Linked DNA regions of Oreochromis niloticus. The protein of the gene in region 1 purifies or fractionates together with the protein of each later gene. This does not show direct contact. Links are inferred from orthologs where the notes say so. Each region holds a gene or a part of one and is shown in the gene's direction. Other genes may lie near its edges. The genes, in order: atad5a, WD repeat-containing protein 48 and rfc5.

Region 1 (7,133 bases):
TGCAGAATTTAAAGCAAAACTAATCAGGAATATAGTTTCATGCATCAAATTACATTTGATGGTTAGATAATGATGTGTGTCACATAGTTTATCAAGAGAGCTCCCCTTACTGCGAAAGCCATATTTGGCTGTGAGACATTACATCTACAAGGCAAATGGTTGTAGTTCATCTACAGTTTACAGTTACAGCACAATTTTATATTCATCATGTGGTCACTGAATATGGCACATCATCAACATCTTAGTATAAGTATTAATATTTTCTTTGACATTTTACTTTGGAGATTTATTAGCATTATTTATGTTAAAGAAATTGTTTTACAAAACTCTGTGATTCTGTGTTTGACCACAAACATCATACTGAAGCTGGATTCACCCATTCATTTCAAATGAAACCTTTTTTGCTATCATGGTGGGTATTTTGTAAAATGTGAGGCCTTTCTGACTCACCTTCAATTAGTGCTCTGAGTTTCCTTCTTTGTGTCTGCACCTCATCAAACCTCTTTGATGCTCTGTCACTTATTGCTTTCATTTCCTCCCTCAGAGCGTTTCCATGAGCACGATCAATGGGATAGTGACGGCCTCCGTTTGCAGCGACCATTGCCTCGATTTTCTCAAAAAGTGCTTCGACTTGACTGCTGTCCTCCCTGTTACTCACACAGAGGACATGTTTTCTGTTTCCACATTGCTCAAGAATCCACTGCATTTCTGACCACTCACTGATTGTAGTTTCTACATTTTTTTCATTCCATGGATATTGAGCAGTGAACAGCACGATGGTGTGATTCAACACATCCTTGTGGAAAAGTTTCAGGTGCTCTTTTAAAGATGACATGAAGATCTGGGGCAAGAAAAAGCTATGATGAAAGACCAGAAGAAAGGCGTGAGGTCCTGGGGGACACAGATGGACACTGTTCTGGATTTCTATCTGATCCAGCTTTGGGGTGTTTTCTAGTGGATAGTGCCACCACCAGCCTGGAGTATCCACCACAGTGACCCGTCTGCCATGAACCTCCTGCTGCCCCGCCACACTCTGGGCACTTCTTCTGCTGGTGTCAAAAACATTTTGACCCAGTATGATGTTGCCGCTCAGACTCCTATAACTGGGGTGTCCTGTTAATTCTCTGCCACCTATCAGCACGATCCTCAACTCTGGAGAGTCGTGACTGTGCCCTGCAACACAGATGCAGCATTGTTTACATACTGTAAAACTAGAAAAGTGTCTTCATACAGAATTTATGGACACGTTTGTGTAACTGCAAGTATTAGTAAGTAAAACTGTGAAAACAATGTGAATAGATAGCAGTGGTATGTTTGCTTAGTTTTTGTTCACCAGATTAAAAGCCAAGATGACAGAGGTGTGAAATAAAATGATGTCTTTTTTATATATATATATATATATACACACACAGAATAATCTGTAAATGATATCTCTGTTAAGCACTGAGTGAACACTGTGGAATTTAAGCACAATCAGAGATACAACACTGAGAGTCACTTTCCCTGTATGCAAAGACACCGCCAGTAACAACTGAGTCTGATTAAAAATGTGTTTCCTTGTTATGTTAACAAATAAATCAAAAGTCTTATATTCCATTTCTATATACAGGTTTTATGAACAGAATAATATTTACCAGAGCTGGGAACAGCACGCTCATCAGCCATTGTTTAACTAAAGTGACACAAAGAACAGGAAAGGCAGAACTAGTAGAACCAGTTTTGATAATCTACAAGCTGTTTTCTTAAGTCTTTTTAAAGGAGAAATACCAAATACTTACTTTAGAAATGTTTTGATATTCTTTTTAAAATCAGTTCAGGCAAACAGTGCTGTGGAGAAGTATTTGCCTCTTCCTCATTTTTTGGTTTTTGTTTTCATTCCATATTTGTTAAATGTTTCAGATCGTAAAATAAATGTTGATATTAGACTAAAGTAACATGATTAAAGACAACAGTGATTATTTAATTTATTATGGTAAGAAAGGTGTCCAATCCTACCTGGTCCTGTGCGACAAAGTGAGAGCTTAGTTCAGTTTCACTAACCACACCCAGGCCTGATTACTTCCAGACTTGCTGAATCAAGAAATCACCATAAGGAAGAGAAACTGTCTGACAAAGTGAAGTAGGCTAAAAGCTCTCAAACAGCACCACATATAATAACACAGTCTAAAGAAACAGCTGAGAAATAAAGTCATTGACATCTTTCAGTCTGGAAAGGGTTACAAAGTCAAAAGAGTCCTTATCGACAAATGGAGAAGATTTGGAGCATAAAAGATTTCATAAAAGAAATCAGAACTACATTTAAAGAACTGCCGGCCTCACTCACCTCAGTCAATGTCAGAGTTCGTGATTCAACAATAAGAAAAAGACTGTGAAAAATGGCGTCCATGGGAGAGCAAAAAGAACACAAAGGTTCGTATCATGCGCCCCAAAATATATTAAATAAAAAAATATTACATTAAAATTATATATATTATATATAAAGTAATATTCTGTGAACTGACGAGAAAAAAGATTCATTTTTTGGAAGTCAAACGTGGTGGTGGTAGTGTGATGGTCTGGCGCTTCTTTGCTGCACAAGGTAGAGGCTGCTTTGCAGTTTTTAGCAGAGACTTTTAGATATCCTTTATTTATCCGGGTAAAAAGTGTCATTGACATAAAAAATGTCTTTTTTTTAAAGAAAGTTCTGGCCAAGAGGGAAGCAGAAATTGTAAAAATAAATAAATAACAATAAACAGTTTTATAAACATACTTTAAGTGACTAAGAAGGAAAAGGTTGAATATAATATAATATAATATAATATAATATAATATAATATAATATAATATAATATAATATATATTAAAATGCAGAATCATAAACATATCTTTATTTTATATAACAGGGCAGTTGCCATTTCTTTAATGAGGAGGATGTGGACGTCCTGGAGAGGGAGGAACAGAGGGACAGAGAGTAACACAGGTCATTTACATGAAAGGGGGAAGATATCTAGGCCCCTTAAGTGTACCTCTATCTCCAACTTACAATGCTGTGATTGCGTCCATTCCCCAACTCTCTGAATGGTACTCATGGTCACTGATCAATGGTCATGACAGTTTAAATATAAACAATGATGAAACTGCCCATTGTTAGACATTGTTAGAAGTTTCACCTATTATGCAAATGTACTGTTTAAAAGGTTGGGGAAAGCTGCAGTCAGCTGAGAGTGAAGAAGTCACTTGGATGAGTACTGAAATGTTTCTTCCACTGAAAAAGTCCAGGAAAACAGGATCAACTTCTAGGTTTGTAATTTTTGTTTATTCTCTTTAGTGACAGGGTTTTTAAATCTGTGCTAATATTAGTGTTTTCTTGGAAAAACTTACTGACAGTGGAACAGTAGGCTGTGAAAGTCTGGGTGAATATAGTTATATAAATAAAGGAAGGAAACTTTGAAGTTAATTTGCCTTCTTTTGGTTGTATGGGTAGCAGGTTAGAGTGACGCTCAGTCGAGTCTGAAAAGACTGGATTAGCACCAAATATACCAAAGTGGACTGGTCTTTGTTCCTCGTGACTCAATCATTCTTTTCAGGTCATAGAATTGTTTTGCCTCTTCCTTATCCAGGTTAAATGAGCTTTGGTAACAGGGTTGTTGATATGTTTTTGGGGAAGAATAAAAACATTTATTATTCTTGATCTTTAACATATTAACATAACATTAAAATAACATGTGACGAAAAAATGGTGTAACAATATAAAAGACACAATTATAAAATGAATTGTAACTGTTTGACATGAAATGTGGTTATCAAGAAGTTGGGATAAAATTTAAAAAAAAAACAAAAAAAACAGCTTCTTGATCTATTTTGTATTTTAAATATTTTGGAACCATTTTTTTAACAACCAGCTTTAGCTTTTTCTCCCAATTTTTACACAAAAAATTATATTTTAATAGTTTTTACGTGGATGGATAGGAGATAAAATGTCCTGCAACTTAACTTACTTTATTTTGTGAAACGTGAAATGCTCACACTAGAGGGAGCTGTCGTTATTTTACCTCTCCGTTAAAGGTGACACCACACGCCATCTTTGTTATGGGCGGACTAGGACAGCTGATGACGGAGGGGTTTTCTTCCCTGTGATTGGTGGACTCGCGCCATGCCAAAGGTCGCGTATATTTCGCGCTCTTGATTCACAACCGAACTGGCGCGCTATTGAAACAGCCGCAGTATGTGAAGAAATACGAACCTTTGGTTCGTTTTCGGAGCAGTTCGGAAAATATCCGTGTAACATTTTAGCACTTTGCCTTCTTATGTCCTTGTCTGACACGCCGGGAAATGTTTGGAGCACTTCTGGGATCTGTGGGAAGCTTTTAGACTAGCATCTAGCGAAGACAGCTAGCTTGTTGTTTTACAGTAACACATTTCTTTTGGCACCAAACAGACTCACACGATGATTTTATGTTTAGTTGTTTGTTCACTCAGTCGTAGACGTGAATGACAAACCTTTGCAGCAAGTTCCGGTTCGGCTTCGTCGGTGAGTGTTTTCTTTGTTTACGTGGTTTCTCTCTCTTATGTCGCACAGAACTGGAAGTTCCTGGGCGCCATGTCAGGAAAAATATCATTTTACAGCTTAGTTGTTGTTTGCGAACATCATAAATAACACACATGTGAGCCTCGTGTTTATCAGCCTTTTCATACTGCCAGTGCTTCAGCAAAACTTCTACATGGCTGTCGTGACATTGACAAAAAGCGCTGACAGAACACCGCTTTAAAGAAAAGGAAAGGCTTTGTGTTATCACTTGTAAATACACTGTTCTCCTTTTTGTTAGTGTTAAAGTAATTATTAATATTTCTGAATGTAAATACCACACGCTTTTATCACAGTGTCAAAACATAATAAACGCTCGTAATCCGTACAACAAAATAAAAGGAAAACAGCAAAATCATCCAGAACATACCTGAATGCAAATGCATCATATAAAGTACAAATAACCTGCACATAGCTTTATTTTAATGGTTGATTTTCATTTTTCCCTTTTCTTTTCCCGTTATTATTTTTCCGGGTCCTTTTTTTCTTGCCACCAGTGTTGCCGCCTGGTTATTGTAGTGAATTTTTCCAATTCAGCGACTGATTGCAACTTGTGGTGACTAAAGATTGCCCACTCACGACCACTTTTGATTGCACAGGTTGTCTGGTAGGAGGCAACCTTTTTGCAGTCAGTCTGACTTTGACTGACTGCCATTACTCGTTAAAGGTTTGCAAGTAGTTACATCTAATTTATAAACATTGACTTATTGTTGGTTATTGTAAATATTGGATATTTACAAAGTTTAACTTTGAGGACATCATTTGCAGTTAACAAAAGGTTCAAAGATCCCAATATATGTTAATGAAATACTCGGCAAAAAAAAGAATCAAAAAGTATTGTGATAATATCGTATTATGGAGTGTCTGGTGTGTCCCACCTGTAGCTTGTAGTTATTATTTTCTCACAGAGGAGGAGAGAAAGCTCCTTGGCAGGAATCAGTATGAGGGAAAATTAGAAAATGTCAGGTGACAGGATGGCTGGGTCTCTGAGAAAAGGAAAGCAGTTAAACTTCCACCTGAATCTCTGATGTGTCTTTGCTGATCTGTTCTTCTGCGAGCTGTGTGTAACAGTGTTTTATTTATTTCTGCTTTAGGTCTCGTCAGATAATGGCTGGTGTTGTGGCTATGCCTTCTGTCATTGAGGACTTTGACAGCCAGGTGTGTTATGATACTGATTTGAGCAGCGCATCAAATGCACCAACTATTTTGAATTGCCTTGCATTTTTATCTCTGATTAAATTTGTCTTTCTTTTTACAGCCTTGCAAGAAATCTCGCAAAGATGGTGGCAGTCCTGTTGTCAAAACAATCACCAACTATTTCTCTCCTGTGCCTAAGCCTGTGGAGAAACCCTTCTCTCCTCCACGTTCCAACAACATCATGGACTACTTTAGCAAGAGGGCTCCATCCTGTAAAGAGAAATCCAGCTCACCAGAGCAAACTAAAGAAGTAGGGAGGCCTCACTCTGCAGAAAAACACACCAATCCGGAGACGGTGAAACAGCTGTCTCAGAAACGGGGTCGAAAAACCAGCAAAGCTGCAAGGAAACTTGTGGGGGCTGAAGGTGTCAGTTCCACCGAGGAGTCAAGTTGCGTGACTGTACAAGAATCGCATGAAAGCAAAGACCAGGCTGTAGATGCAGTTAAAAGTTTTGGAGTCCTTGGCAGCGATACAGCAGCTCTACTGGCCCAGCTTAGTGCTGAGAGCTGCATTCCTGCAGAAACATCAGAGAAACATGCCACTAAGATTATCACGGATGAGCAGGCTGAGAAAGCTGATCATCAGGAAGATGGTTCTAAATGTGTTGAACTTAAAACAGCACTAAACACTATTGAGTTGTCTCCAATTGTACCCTCAAAGTATGAAGCAAAACAGGTTAAAACCACACCACAAAATACCAGGAAGAGGCAGCAACAAGAGGCAAAGCAGTCAGAGCCAGAGGAGAAAGAAGCAGAAACTGAGAACTCTCTCCGTGATGTAAGCATGGAGGTCAATGTTGATGAGTCTTCTCAGTTGAACAGCAGCACAGTAAGAATCTCCTTTGAGGATTTTGTACGGAGTCAGAGTCAGGATGAGGCTGAAGAGGACAGAGAAGATGAAGAAGTAAAAGATGATGACTGTAAAATAACAAATGAGACAAAGGAAACAAACTCAGGTGAGCTGGATATTTCCAAATCTGAAGAAAACATGGTTCCTGAGGAGTTGCCATCATTTCAGGTTTCACCCCGAACTGTCACCATCCAGGCTCAAGTGCACGTCTCACCAAAACAAGAACCAAGCAAAGCGGTGGGAAAGTTGGCTTCCATCTTCAACCGGAAAAAAGGCGGGCGTAGTCCTGCAGAGAGATTCTCATCTTCTCACGCTGAGGCTGGACACCAGCTTCCTTCTCTGACTACCAAACGGAAATCCAACGTGGTTCTCCAGGAGGAGGATCTAGAGCTGGCAGTGCTTGAGAGCGAATCCATTCCTAAGTGCAGTGAAGTCGAGAGGAAGCAGTTCATGGCCGCTTTCAAGCAGCCCACTGCAGACGTCTCCAAATCCAAGCCTGTCAAGAGCCAAAGCAAGCAGAAG
Region 2 (7,063 bases), on another chromosome or scaffold:
CTGTTTGGGTCCCTAAAGTGCTCATAATTAACTAATTTTTCTCTCATTAAAAGTGAAACATTTTAGAAAATATAAAATATCTAAACGTATAAAATGTAGGGTGATGGAATGTGTGGCTTACCTAAAATAAATGGAAAATACTGTCTTATTCTATAGTTCAAAACAAGTAAGCTGTGAATCTTCTCACAGCTTACTTGGTAATTGTAACTATATTCGATTGTTCAGTTTCAGATTTTTATGGCACAATCTCTAAGTTGCTTAGACCAACGAAGAACTATTATTATGCGACAAATGTATTTAGATACATTTTGTTGCTCTGTAATCCAGGTATTTTTTGTGATCTTAGATTGTAGCTCACAGTTTTGTCTAGTTGACAGATTTCCATATAAACCTTCTATATATGCCTTAATCAAGCCTTTTTTAGCCTTCTTCCATTTTCTGAGTTCAGTTTTTTAAAAGTATAAGAATGAAGAAATTGCAATTAACCCAAGACAGCAGTCAAACTGATGTTTATTTTCTTCTACAAATTAGCAAATCTAAATATAGTTTTAGCTGAACAGGAGAAAATATATATATATATATATATATATATATATATATATATATATATATATATATATATATATATATATATATATATATATATATATATATATGTATATATACATATTATTTTTTTGATGTTATTATGTTCTAAGTTGAAGGCATTGTAAACGTTTTTGTTGTTCAAATTTAGATGATGAGGATGTAAACCTCAGGGGGTAGGGCTAAATAAGTATATACTTCTGCCTACTCCTTTTCAAACAACTGCATGGAATGATTTTATGAAATGTTGGTGAATGTATATGTTTGAAATAAAAATGAACTGAACTGAACTGAAAACCTTGAACCTGAACAGTAGAGAATGAATTACTACACTATAGTCAACGTCACAGTGTATTAGCTTCTTTCAGATTCTAACTTGTAGTCTTCAGCTCTATAACCTATATGAATGGAGTAACATGACTATTAGACATGGCAGAGTTCCTTATGGAGTCACAGAAGACTATTGTTTTTCCCCCCATCTTTTATGAGACTACGGCAGGACTTTGTACTGCTGCTATCTATTCCATCATCTTTTATTTTAAGATTGTTTTAACAGGAAACAAAGTTCTTATCAGGCGATAGCTCTCACTATCTGGTTGTTAACTCATTTCTAACTTATTTTCTTATATTAACTCAAAACCTACAGATAGTTTTTCTTTTCATATTCTAACCTGTAGTTTTCAGCTCTATAACGATGACAGAGCTCTTTATGCTTCCTTATATGTGTGTGTGTGTGTTTATACAATGGTCTATTTAATTCTATCAACTACAGATACTCAAATGATTTGTTTAACTAAAGACTGCTTTCTTACTGCGTTATTAAACAATGCTGTATGTTGCAATCGAAATATTAAAAATTACACTAAAAACATTATTAAAAAGTTTAGGAATGAGTCCAACTTTTTTTCATACTTTTCTGGGCGTCTAGTCTAACTGGGCCTTCTGTATGTTCTTCATCGCCATGTTATGTGTCCTTCTCCCCCTCAGAGCTTCATACTGTGATCTGAGGTGCAAAGCCTGAACTGATGACCTACTTCTTTGGCAGAAACCTTTCAATGTAATTGCAGAAGATAACTTAAACGCCAAGCATACAGAAAGTACACGCATATAAAAATATAGACAGTGGTAAAATGATCCACTAATAAAACCAGTGGCTGATAATGAACTGAGTATGAATCCCAGTTGCCAGTGTTCAAATATTACTTTAAAAAAAATGAATATTACAACTTATCAAAAGTTACATGAGTCACATTAAACATGAAGATTGTTGAGATTTTCTTTCAAAATGTGGTTTGTGATGTCATGGATGACATGTGTAATAATCACAGCCTCGGATATCATTACATTAAATGTCTTTTCACTTCATATTTCAGGAGATAAGAAGGCAAATGAAACATTGACCTCGTTAAAGTGAATTTCCAAAGGAAGCTTAATCCTAAAGCTTTTTGAAACTGAACACTTATTTGATGAAGTAATGAGAGGTTCTCCGTTAACATACTGTCTTTAGGCGAATACAATAAAAAAATTAAAAACAAAAGGAGAAAACAAACAGCCAAGAAGTCGTGCCAATCATTTTCTGCTACATGTTTTTGCGGCCACATGAGGATTCCGTGCAGAATATACTTACATGTGAAACTGTGAGTTTTACAGCATCGTTTCCAGAATGAAGTTCTTCGGGTTTTAGAAGAAGAAACAACCAAACCTTCCGTGCAAAATCCATGTTTTCTTTTCAAGGCTCACTTCGCCTCATCGTGGATCCAAACTCCAGCCCAGGGGGAAGAAAAGTGTCACCAGAATCCAGAGAAAAGCGGTCAAAACTGACTTCTTGGTAAGCGCCAGAGGTCTGCAGTCACCCTATTTTGGACATTTTGAAAGCTGTCACAGGTGCGGTGTAAGTAAAACTTCGTCCTCTTGCCTTCCATTCGTGAGGCCCGTCGGTTTTCATCCCATGAAGGAAAAGTCTCCGGCTGCTGAGCGTGGAGGATGCTGCGCTGTCTCGATTTGCCCTTGAGCAAGAGAGCATGAGGGAGGGGGGGGATTGCTGTTGGGCCACAGAGGATTACCGCGCTATAGGCGTCCCATGGCGCTCTCAGGCATAGTGTGTGCTGCGCTTTTGCCACATCACCAAGTATGCCTTAGTCCGAGGACTATGAAGAAGCTCAAAGTTTATTTCTGTAAAAGGTGTGTGTGGGAAACGCTCCTACCAGAGGCTGCTTTCGTATTCAATCGACAGTAGCCCACATTTCACGTGCCGGGTTTTAAACACTTTTGTTTGGTTTAACGTACCAACCAGAGGCATGCACACCCGTGAAGAACAGCCAGAGCCCGAGTTCACTGCATGCACCCTACAGTGAGCTGATTTGGTTTGGAATCAAAACCTGATTCGCACGAGTGAACCCTTAAAAAGACGTGATTTCACACCACCGGTCCTCAGACTTTTATTCTGTCTTTCCAATAGAGCCGGGAGGTTTGGACTTCCTGTGCAGCTCATGATAGTGTATTACCCCCTCTAGTGTCCGGTAATAGACTTTCTATTTGTATGGAGCAGCAAGAATTCTTATTTTCAGAACATGCGCAGATTGATAGACCGAAATGCTGTCTCATCAGGATTCATACATCACATTTTGTGTATTAAGGTATAGAGGGAGGCGGAACATATTTTAAGCTTATTTCTAAATTATTCTAATAAAAGATAAAAGGCCTGCTAAATAGTTTACCCAGATATGTTTTTCAAAATAGCTATGGCACAGCAGAAATACACTTCAAGGTTGAGATATAAACTAGACAAATGTTTTCCCAGAAATTTGAAATGTGAACATTGGACGGTTGGACGGTCTTGTGTTAATCCTCCTCTGCGACCATATAAACAGATGTTTATATTTGCATATTATATAATAATACAGCCATAACGATTGTCCAGCGTGCATCATGGTGAACTGCGCGGATGTGCCAATCACTGTGCCATACAGGCGCTCGGATCAATATAAATATTGACGGTATTGAAACTGGTACCTTCTTTCTTTCCCCTATATACCCCACTGAATTATTTCATGAACAATTATAGCTATATCAAACACGCACTATGAAAAATGTCTCAGTACCTTTTTTGTGTTGACTGTCACATATGTTTTAATTATAGTAGCGCATTTGAACAATAGAAGTTGACCCAAAGTGCTTTACAGACAGACGTATTTAGATTCCATGTCTTCAAAAAACCAAAAACAAAACAAAAAACTAGTTTTAAAATACATAAATTACGTTACATTGATTATTACATTATTACATTGATTGATACCCAAAGGTGTTGTATTACAAAACAGCACCACTGCGCCAGTGAACAAATCCCCAGGATTGAGTGGTGGGGAAAGACAAAAAAAATAAATAAAATAAAATCCTTTAACGTTAAAATTTTAGGAACGTGTAGAACCACATTACCCAGAAAGCCCAGGTACATATGTTTTCTTTTTTTCCGGATGTAGCATCACATGAATTGACTGTCAACATGCAAGATGGCCACGCATCACAGGCAAAATGCTGCTGGGCGGAGGAAAGTACAGGTAAATTAGAGGCGTTACATTATTGGTAAATTTGTGACAACGGCAACATCGGGGCCTCCAGCTTAAAGAGGTTCTTCACAAACACCCGATAGGGAGTAAAAGACACCAGCACAAGATAGCGTTGCAGTTAGGTGTCATGACTCAAGCCGGCTAACCTATCTAGCTTAGCATACGTGAGGTGTTAGCGTCATGTGCTAACGGTCGCTTCCAAATGATTACATGCTTTTGCAAACATTTTTTTCATACGAGCAAGTGTAAAATACTTTATAAGATGACTACAGATATCGCCTGTCAGTACAAAATAATAACACCCCTCCTTGGTTGCCGTTTGAAGCTGTTACGGCGTTGACGGAAGCTAAGCTAGCTACTGTATCCGGGCTCCGTCTAATTGCTAGTGAAACGTACGCGTCCAGGCAGGTCTGTCGTGAACCGTTGCCAGTATGCTCAGCTGCCGTAAAAATAAACATTAAAATTATGCACTTTCCTTGTTGTTAAAGTGAAACCGGTTTGCACTATATGCCAGTGTGTGTGACATTTAGTTAAGCTCTGTGTTTGTCTCGTTAACTCTGCAGGTCCTTGGAGTGCAAGTTCACGTTATACAAGTGTTAGCACGTTAGAGCTTAAAGGGTGGGTGTGTTGGGTGGGTGTGTTGTGTGGGCCAAAGCAAAACAGGTCGAGATTAGGAGTCTGAGCCCAGCGCCCATTCTCCTCTCTGTGTTCCAGGTATCATATGTCATTAGAGATGAGGTGGAGAAGTACAATCGAAACGGGGTGAATGCACTCCAGCTCGACCCTGCTCTGAACCGGCTCTTCACTGCAGGGAGGGACTCCATCATCCGGATATGGAGCGTCTACCAGCACAAAGTACAGCTTCTTGCCCTGCTCCATTATGCTAAAATAGTCAACTCATTTTACATAAGGCAGCTGCTTTAGTATGCATTTCTCAAATCCCATGCCTAAGACCGTCTTAACTGTCCTTGTCCTCTCTTGTTATCATAGCAGGACCCGTACATTGCATCGATGGAGCATCACACAGACTGGGTTAATGACATAGTCCTCTGTTGCAATGGAAAAACTTGTGAGGTTTTTTTTAAGCTGTTCAGTTCACCCAACATTTTATTTTGAACCCCCCGTTTCTGATTAAAAAAATTTGCTTTCAGTGATATCTGCCTCATCGGATACAACAGTCAAAGTATGGAACGCACACAAAGGGTTTTGTATGTCAACGTTACGAACACATAAGGACTACGTGAAAGCGTTGGCTTACGCTAAGGACAAAGAGCTGGTAGCATCAGCAGGTCTGGACAGGCAGATCTTTCTTTGGGATGTGAACACACTAACAGCACTCACTGCTTCCAACAACACTGTCACCAGTAAGTAAAGATTTTGCAGTCTGACACTAGTATCCATTTCTGTCCTCTGGACAGAAGCTTAGATTAGATGTGATTTGTACTGAGTGTAATTTGTATTTAGCATGACTGATATGTTTATGTCAAAGTCAGTCTGTACCTTTGGACTTAGTATATTTTGTCTCCAACAGCTTCATCACTGAGTGGGAACAAGGACTCAATCTACAGTCTGGCTATGAACCAGATGGGCACGGTTATTGTATCAGGATCCACAGAAAAGGTTTGTGACACACAGATGGACAGATTTACACAGTGCCCAGTGTTTACACTAAGGAATAAATGCGAACTTTCAGTTGTGTTACATTTTTGAAAATACTGAGACATAAACAGCTTCACTGAGCAACAATCTGTCTCTCTAACTACAATCACTTTTAAAAGGACTCTAAGCTTCAATAACTCAGCTCTCAGGAGCGCCACGGGTACCAATTATAATCACTGAATGGTAACTCATTCAGTGATTATAATTGGTTTTTAGGGTCTCTGTGGATTATTACACATCTCTTAGTCCTGTTTGGGTCCCTAAAATGCTCATAATTGTCTTAGGGGTGATGTATAATTTGTTAAATTTCAGGTTTTCATGGCATGATCTCTAAGTTGCTTAGACCAGCGTCAAGATATAAAGAACAATTGTTATTGCCTTTTAAACTTCAAAGCATAGTTTAAGCGTTGCTCTGTAATCCAGGTATCATTTGTGATGTTAAATTGTAGCTTCACAGTTTTGTCTAGTTGACAGATTTCAAAATAAACCTCAGGCCTTAACAAAGCCTTTTTAGCCTTCTTCCATTCACTGAGTTCAGTTTTTTCAAAACCTTGAACCTGAACAGTAGAGAATGAATTACTACACTATAATCTAGTAATTGCCTTGTTAACTTATTTTTACTAATTTCTTAAAACGCAAAACAGTAAAAAGTTCTTTCATATTCTAAGTTGTAGTCTTCAGCTCTATGTAGGTTACATGGCTTCAGGAAAATGGCTATTAGAAGAAAACTTCTCTCTCTAACTTCTCTTAAGAATTTGTAAGCAAGTGATAATACAAGTTCTTCACTGACCTTTGGTTTCTGTTCAGATATGCTTAAAGCATTTCCATTAGGCTGTCACAAATCTGTGGATATTATAAACTATAAAGACTGCTTCAAAAATTTAATATAAAGAAAATGCATGAATGGTGTAATTGAGTGCGTACCTTGCTTTGTTTTAGCCCAGTACGATTGTTGTCATTACCCTTCTTGTGTCTTTCTTCAGGTTCTGAGAGTGTGGGATCCTCGAACGTGCGCTAAGCTCATGAAGCTAAAAGGTCACACGGACAACGTCAAATCGTTGCTGCTGAATCGAGACGGCACTCAGGTGAGTTAAATGATCTAAAATGCCGCGGCTGCCAAAGAGCAAAGTTTCAGAATCTAAAAGTCACTGGTCCTCCCCACAGTGCCTATCAGGCAGTTCAGATGGGACCATTCGCCTTTGGTCCCTCGGCCAGCAGAGGTGCATCGCCACCTACCGTGTGCACGACGAAGG
Region 3 (7,104 bases), on another chromosome or scaffold:
ACTACCCCTGTTGCTTGTTGCATTCCTGTTGAGTAGAACAAGTGATACAAACCACACTAACAAAGCAACAGCATAAAAACAGTGTGTAGCACCAGTAACATTTAAAATTTTGCAAGATCTCTTTAAGGTGGGAATATAAGTTTGTGCAAGCTGCACTTTGAAAACTCTTGTTTTAAAGGATAATGTCTCTCTCAAATTCAGTGTCAATATGAAAAATCTCTGTCTTTGTAATGTAACAACCTGTCTAACAGCCTGTGGAAGACTGAAGTTAAGCATAATTTTAAAATGACAGAGAAAGTGGTGTTTCTTGCACTCCAAATACAATCCTTTAACTCAGCTTCTGAGAGAAGATTATTTTTCCTTCAACTAACGTGTCCTTTTCATACAGGTATTAGCCATGCAGCACAGTTGCTACAAACATGCTAATAATGGATGCCAAAATTTTCTGAAAAGAACTGAACACATAGCTTGGGTATATCCTAACTTTTGGTTTAGGCAAATTAAAAAGGATATCCTTACCCTTCTTAAGTTTGGAGAAATAGGTCAAACCATGACACAATCAATAAAATCTTTCTGATAAATCCATTCACAAAAATTTGTCAGGCTAATTTTACTGGTGAAATAAAAATAATACCCCATAATGCTTATAACTAGTAATCCAGTACCGAAAGCGCTTTGCAAAGCATGCAGGGAACATAGTGAACACTTATCTTCACAGTGTAGCCTGCTCATTGCTGGCAGAGCATTTGCACTTTATATATTTAGTTATTTCTTCACTTGGATTACATTCCTGTCCCCTGTCCAGCACTTGCAAACTCCATTTAACAGCTCAGACATGAATACTTTGCAATATGTTTATGTGTTATGCACAGTCTCATATTCCTGTGGGGATGAGATTAAGTGTGTGCCACTCACAAGTGATTTCTTGGTATTTTGTTAACGTAGTATCTTAATTATTCTCCCACTAGGACTTAAAGTCTGTTGATGGCGCACACAAAGACTTAGTGGTGAGTTTATGGAGACCTTATCACTTAATGGTATTTGTTTCAATCTCATGAGACATCACAATAACATTCTTATAGGCCCTAAATGCCGTGCTGTGTCTGCAGTGCTCAATAGGCTATAGTGAGTTTGCAGTGAGCTTATCGCACTTTATGGCATCTTTATGTCCTGTAACAGCCTGTCAGTGGTAAGGGGTTTATTCGACTGGTCTAAGTAGTCTCAAAAAGGGCAGCCTGATATCTCAACACACAACATGACCATTACGTAACGCAATTTACGGAATACCCCACGGGCCAATTAACGGATAACGATATTTTGTAACAATTTCAGTAATCTGCCAGCCTTGCATAACGCAGGGCCTGGCTGCGAGAACAGATGCGCAGGCTGGCATATTGCTAATGGATTGTAAACACGGGCTGCCTATAGGCCTCGGCTGCCTCAGATATTATTCTGGTGGAGAAGAGCCACCTTCTCTCCCCGCCACCTGCAGAATGCGCAAGTCTATAACAGCTCACTGCAGCCCCTTGGCCTCTTGATTTATTGCACTGCACAAAACAGATAGCAGTGGGCTTTAGCTGAAATCGTTGCATATTTATGCAGTGGCAGCAGAAAAGCAGTCTGCCGTAGAAAAGACACATAAAAATTATGCATAGTGGCCTTGAAATAAATAACAAACGGCGGCAGCCCGCCACCCCCCCATATTGATTTGGATGTAGATGCACAGCAGAAATCCGATGATTCCGCTCAAAGGGTGCTTACCTCCAGCGTTCGTATCTCTTTTTGTGTCAAGTCGTTGGATGTGGCACATTTGGTCCGTAAACCCTCCAAACTAGAAATGCTTATGTCTATCATATTTTGCACCAACTCGCACTGCTGCAAGGCTTTCTGCAAACTAAGATGCTGCTCCTCGCTTTTTGTCATCTCCTCGTTCATAGTTTTGTGAACAGTGGACGTTTTTTTCCGCTGCACTTAACAAAAAAGGAATGAATTAATTCAAAAACAAGGGGAAAAAAATATTGATGATTATTCAAGAAAGGAGCGTGGTGAAACCCACGGAACGGAGCAACCTGCAAAACGCCATGAAACGAGATGTTGAAGGTTTAGAGACGGGCTTTGAGCCGTGAGAGAGTCGACTCCATTGCAACAACAGTCCTCGTAGTTCCTGCTGTTTCATCAAGGTGTCTCTGGTTGTGGGCTAAATCAAACACAGTATGAAGATACCAAGCGGGACTACGCGGTCTGCATCCATTGGGTTCCACTTCTTTCAAATGTATGTTTGAAAAAAAAAAGAAAAAGAAGAAGAAGAAGCTGTTCAGCGCACCATAAGTAGACGCGTCGGGGAAAAGCCTGCTGGTTTTAAAGGTGCTGATGTGCGGACTGGATGCAGGTACTCCCTGTCTCCCTAGGCAGCAGCTGCATCCCGGTTCTCTCCCACCACACCGACATGTTTCCTGTCAATCAAACCCACAGCAACAGCATCGCATCGCCCAGGCACCACCGTGAGGGGCCGTTCTCGCGAGATTACAGAGCAGGGCAGAGAGCTTAATATGCTTGAAACGCCAGGCTAGGGTTAGGGACAAAACTATCCCTCTTTACATGTTTGAAACAAAGATGTCCTTTTACTGAATATGTATGATTCTATTAGTTTATTACAGGCTCATGCTGTGTGCACTCACATCCAAGACACTTATATAGCCTGCAGTCAACAGCTACAAACACTTCAAAATATTTCTAGAAAATGATTTAAATATGCTTTAAAGTTAAATGGAAGAACAAATATTCTTTTCCATTGATTCGTGTGTGACATTTAATTTTTGGCCTAGTTAGACAACTCTGTACTATGCCTGATGATGTTTGCATGTGAGTGGAATCTTCTGTTTTTTATTGTGTGCCTTATCTCATTTCTTCTTCCTCTGTGCTCAGTTTTAATTTGCAGAAGAGATCTTGATCACAGTGAAGCTCCTCAGTTAGAATATAGGTTATAATGCAGACATTACAAATAGAAACTGGATTGTTCAAAAACAGCAATTGCAAAAAAAAAAAAATATATAAACCAAACATTAAGGATTGAATGCTGTCAAAATGCAGGCTGTGATATTAAATCATTATCCTTGACTGATGCAGTATAATGCAGCCTGGGAATCAGGATGCTTTGGAGGTTTCCAGCAACAAATCTGAGAAGTCAAGACGATTAAAGAGATAGGAGATGGTACACAAAATCTTGTGTACTTGTGTGCTCACAGCTTTTTTTCACTAACCCATGATGATCAAGAAAATGTTTCAGAGAAACCTGTTGTGTAAAGTATAAGGTTAGGTAATATTTCAAATTCAGGCTCTAGATAAATATATGGGCACACTGCACTTTTTGAGATATGGACAGATATGTGTATTTTACTGTCAGCACCATTACCAGAAGAAAATATTCCACATGTAACAGAAAATAAATGCAAAAAAATGTAGAAAACATTTCTGACACTCTTTGTCATGTTTTAAGATGGTTAAATATTAAAAGACTCTATTTTGCAAGAACAATTGTGAAGCTTACAAAGATAAACTATAATGAGATTAAGATGTCAGTGTCGTATAAAAGTGAACAAACTACATCTAAGAAGGAAAGGAGTAGACTTTATTTTATTTTTTTTAAAATTTAACAAGACGTTTAGTGCAAGTGACTTTTATTTTAAAAATCAAGATAGCCAGAATACTTTTTTTCTTTTGTTTAAATTGGTGATTCAGACTTCAGTACCATATGCCATCTTTAAAGACTTCTAGTTCTTGCTGTTGGATAAAAAAACAAAAAATCTACTGCTGAGTTTGATTTTCATTTTCACTGATTAAGGAAAGGAATTGTTCAAAATGGGAGAGACAATATTTAAAAATGAAAGAGGAGACATATACCTTCGTTTTTATGATGTTTGATATTGTGTATCTTTTATTGTTACAATTTCTAAATCCCGTTATTACTTTTTACAGAAGAGAACGAGTCACCGATACTCCGCCCATGAAAACGACAATGTGATTTCATTGGTTGTACGTGGTGACGTGTGACGTACGTTTTGTTTGCGGAGCGCGCCAAACAGGGCCATCAACAGTAGTAATCGCAGTGGCTTAAACTCTGGAACCCTTTAGCTCAGCTTGGCGTAAAATTCACGCTTGGTAGGATACATGGCTTCTACAAGTAAAGCGCCGCTACAGACCAGAAATTTACCATGGTGAGCTGAAAGTCGCTGTTTATCACAGAATGGTTCAAAAAGTTATTGCTAGCTAGCTAACATGCCTACTGTCAAGCTAGCTGCTCACTGCACTGAGTAGACTGATGCATTCTGTGAACTGATAGCTTTATGTACATTTAGAAATGACGTTAGTTATTACGCATATTTGTAAAATGGAAGGAAATGAACTTATCTTCAGTTCGGCTTACATAAATCTTATCAGTCCATCAAGCATTAACATGGTGCCACTTCAGCAACAGGTTAACCGAAAACCTGCAGCTTCTGACTGCGGTGAAAGTGCTGTAAGGTTGACGTTTTGTTTATAATAAAGGGTGATATTACGAAAAAAAATAAGGATGCCGAACTAAAAAGTGGGCATCTGTAATGGGATATGTCAACGTTTGTCAGCGCTTATCATATGTATCCGTAGACGTTTCAATAATTTGCTTTAAAATTCATTCGAGGTTGCTTATTTGCCATGCTGTAAACTCAGTAGTTATCGCAAGTATGAATGCGTGTGTGTGTTTTCCTGTTTCAGGGTTGAAAAATACAGACCACAGACACTTGATGATCTGATTTCACACAAAGATATTCTGAGCACTAGTAAGTATGTGGACTGCCAGAATAACAGTACTATAAAACTGTATAACATGACACTTATGGATAAGCAAACTACTTTTAAACCTTAATAAACTGATAAACTCAATGCTATCTGTCAGTGTTTTTGACTCCTGAGCTTGTTTACTGTGGTTATACCGTCACTGTCATTAATGAGTCATGGTACTGAGTCAACTTGCTTAAAACTTTTGTGTTTCAAATTTATAGAACTATTCAAGGGGGGTGCATATGTGGATTGTTAAAGAAACGTCGGTCACTTGTATTTAAACTGATTTTCATTTGTTCTTTTTATTTCCAGTCCAAAGGTTTATCAGTGAGGACAAGCTTCCGCACCTTTTGTTCTACGGCCCACCTGGAACGGGAAAAACCTCAACCATACTCGCTTGTGCCAGGCAGCTGTACAAAGAGAAGGAGTTCAACTCTATGGTGTTGGAGGTATGTTACAACTCCTCATTAGAAGATTTGGATTTGCTGAATTGTAAAGGTTTTTTAACTTGTAACTCTGCCATTTTACATTAAAATATAATTAATTTTGCTTTATAGCTCAATGCATCTGATGACAGAGGTATTGATGTAGTACGAGGTCCCATTCTGAGTTTTGCCAGCACCAGGACCATCTTCAAGTAAGACTAAAACACTTATAGAGATTTTGATCAGAAATAAGTGTTCTCAGTACTTTTACATGCAGTTAAGAAGTGCAGTGGAAATGTAAGCTGCTGCCTTTTTTTATTTATCTTGTCCTTCAGGAAGGGCTTCAAGTTGGTGATACTAGACGAGGCCGATGCCATGACCCAGGATGCCCAGAATGCATTGCGTCGAGGTAAGCCATCTGTTCGTTCAGGCACTACCCACTGTGAGGCACACGGCTCAGTGAGCAGGCAATTTGGCTGCTGCTGACTTACAGTGTATCTACTTTTAAACCTGGATATTTATTTAAAAAGCTTTGCTTTCCAGAAGAGTGGAAATAATTATTGAATTTAACTGTAAAATATTTTGTAAATTTAGTCCAACCTGTGTTTTTCTAATAATGTTTCCATATTTCATTTATAAAGCATCTATTGCTGTGCAGTGCTGTTTTATAGTTCTAAATAGATGCATGGTGAAGGAACAGTGGATGGTATTATTAGTATATTACTGTCAATTCTAAATTCTCAATGAGGTGGTTTACGAGTGTCCTGCACAATCTTAGCAACATTTAGCAAGTACTTAGGATAGATTATTCAAAAAAGTGGATTTTTTTTTTTTATTGACTAAGATGTTGCCAGAATTTACATTTTAAACTTGTTTCCCTGCTTTCATCCCACCCTTGCTCTCTGTCTCAGTCATTGAGAAGTTCACAGAAAACACTCGATTCTGTCTCATTTGCAACTACCTGTCCAAGATCATCCCCGCCCTGCAATCTCGCTGCACCAGGTTCCGCTTTGGTCCCCTTTCGCCAGACCAGATGATCCCTCGGTTGGAGCACGTTATCCAGCAGGAGAAGTGAGTTAATGTGTGAATGCTTTCTCTCCACTTACTGTTGTTTTTTTCGTTTTTGTTTTTACATCTCATTGAATTATTCCCAGAATTGCTAATGAACTTGACAAATGTATTTGTACCTGTTGGCCTCCACTGGGCTCCGCTAGTCTGCCTATAGTGAGAGAAATAATTATTTGATCCCCTGCTGAATTTATAAGTTTGTTCATTTCCTTCTAAATGAACATTCTCTATTTTTATGGTAGTTTAGAGACAGACATAATACCAACCACATTAAAGGTTGTTTAAAATCTAGAGTCTTTGTTCTTATGTTACGTTTCTGTTGGGTAATTTTTAGAAGTTTAGGGCTTCTCTGTGTGTTTGAAAACAGTTTAAATCAGGGGGCAACATCAACCCTGTCCTCTCAACTGTACCAAGCCCTGAAAAACCAACAAATACCACAATAGGAAATGAATTTTCTCATTGTTTCACATTTATTGGTACATGTAACTTGAGATGGAAGAAATTAATGAACGGACTTGGAACTATTTTTGATTGCTCTATTTATTAAATGTCATCAGTTATGTGTTCATGTCGCAAGTTTTAATTTAACTTTGATATGATTTAAAAATAGTTGATTATGTCATTACTTTTTGTGACAGTATTGACATCACGCCAGATGGAATGAAGGGTATCGTGACCTTATCAACAGGTGACATGAGAAGATCGCTCAACATACTGCAGGTATGGCCAGAAGTTCATCATCGGCTCTGTTTAAGATGTGGATGTCATATTCAGTGTGACCGTTTTAAAACAG

What was found.
Region 2: the proteins of atad5a (region 1) and WD repeat-containing protein 48 purify together in Homo sapiens (affinity purification with western blotting; 3 studies listed by BioGRID). This does not show direct contact. The link is inferred for Oreochromis niloticus from reciprocal best matches to the Homo sapiens genes ATAD5 and WDR48.
Region 3: the proteins of atad5a (region 1) and rfc5 purify together in Homo sapiens (affinity purification with mass spectrometry; 4 studies listed by BioGRID and IntAct, counting the BioPlex papers as one, with this or other methods). This does not show direct contact. The link is inferred for Oreochromis niloticus from reciprocal best matches to the Homo sapiens genes ATAD5 and RFC5.

Annotation. Positions count from the first base shown.
Region 1 is NC_031969.2:16,952,386-16,959,518, forward strand, and holds the start of atad5a (ATPase family AAA domain-containing protein 5), read left to right. Parts: upstream 1-4,127; 5' UTR 4,128-4,510; intron 4,511-5,658; 5' UTR 5,659-5,671; coding exon 5,672-5,722; intron 5,723-5,822; coding exon 5,823-7,133. Other genes in the region: GTPase IMAP family member 8, read right to left, coding at 451-1,173, 1,635-1,665. UniProt on the Homo sapiens protein: Has an important role in DNA replication and in maintaining genome integrity during replication stress.
Region 2 is NC_031982.2:7,359,916-7,366,978, reverse strand, and holds the start of WD repeat-containing protein 48, read left to right. Parts: upstream 1-4,010; 5' UTR 4,011-4,094; coding exon 4,095-4,142; intron 4,143-4,865; coding exon 4,866-5,006; intron 5,007-5,141; coding exon 5,142-5,220; intron 5,221-5,302; coding exon 5,303-5,515; intron 5,516-5,682; coding exon 5,683-5,771; intron 5,772-6,793; coding exon 6,794-6,895; intron 6,896-6,974; coding exon 6,975-7,063. UniProt on the Homo sapiens protein: Regulator of deubiquitinating complexes, which acts as a strong activator of USP1, USP12 and USP46. Enhances the USP1-mediated deubiquitination of FANCD2; USP1 being almost inactive by itself.
Region 3 is NC_031977.2:30,124,966-30,132,069, forward strand, and holds the start of rfc5 (replication factor C subunit 5), read left to right. Parts: upstream 1-4,022; 5' UTR 4,023-4,167; coding exon 4,168-4,214; intron 4,215-4,752; coding exon 4,753-4,817; intron 4,818-5,130; coding exon 5,131-5,267; intron 5,268-5,375; coding exon 5,376-5,455; intron 5,456-5,578; coding exon 5,579-5,652; intron 5,653-6,154; coding exon 6,155-6,314; intron 6,315-6,949; coding exon 6,950-7,031; intron 7,032-7,104. Other genes in the region: ksr2 (kinase suppressor of Ras 2), read right to left, coding at 1,762-1,935. UniProt on the Homo sapiens protein: Subunit of the replication factor C (RFC) complex which acts during elongation of primed DNA templates by DNA polymerases delta and epsilon, and is necessary for ATP-dependent loading of proliferating cell nuclear antigen (PCNA) onto primed DNA.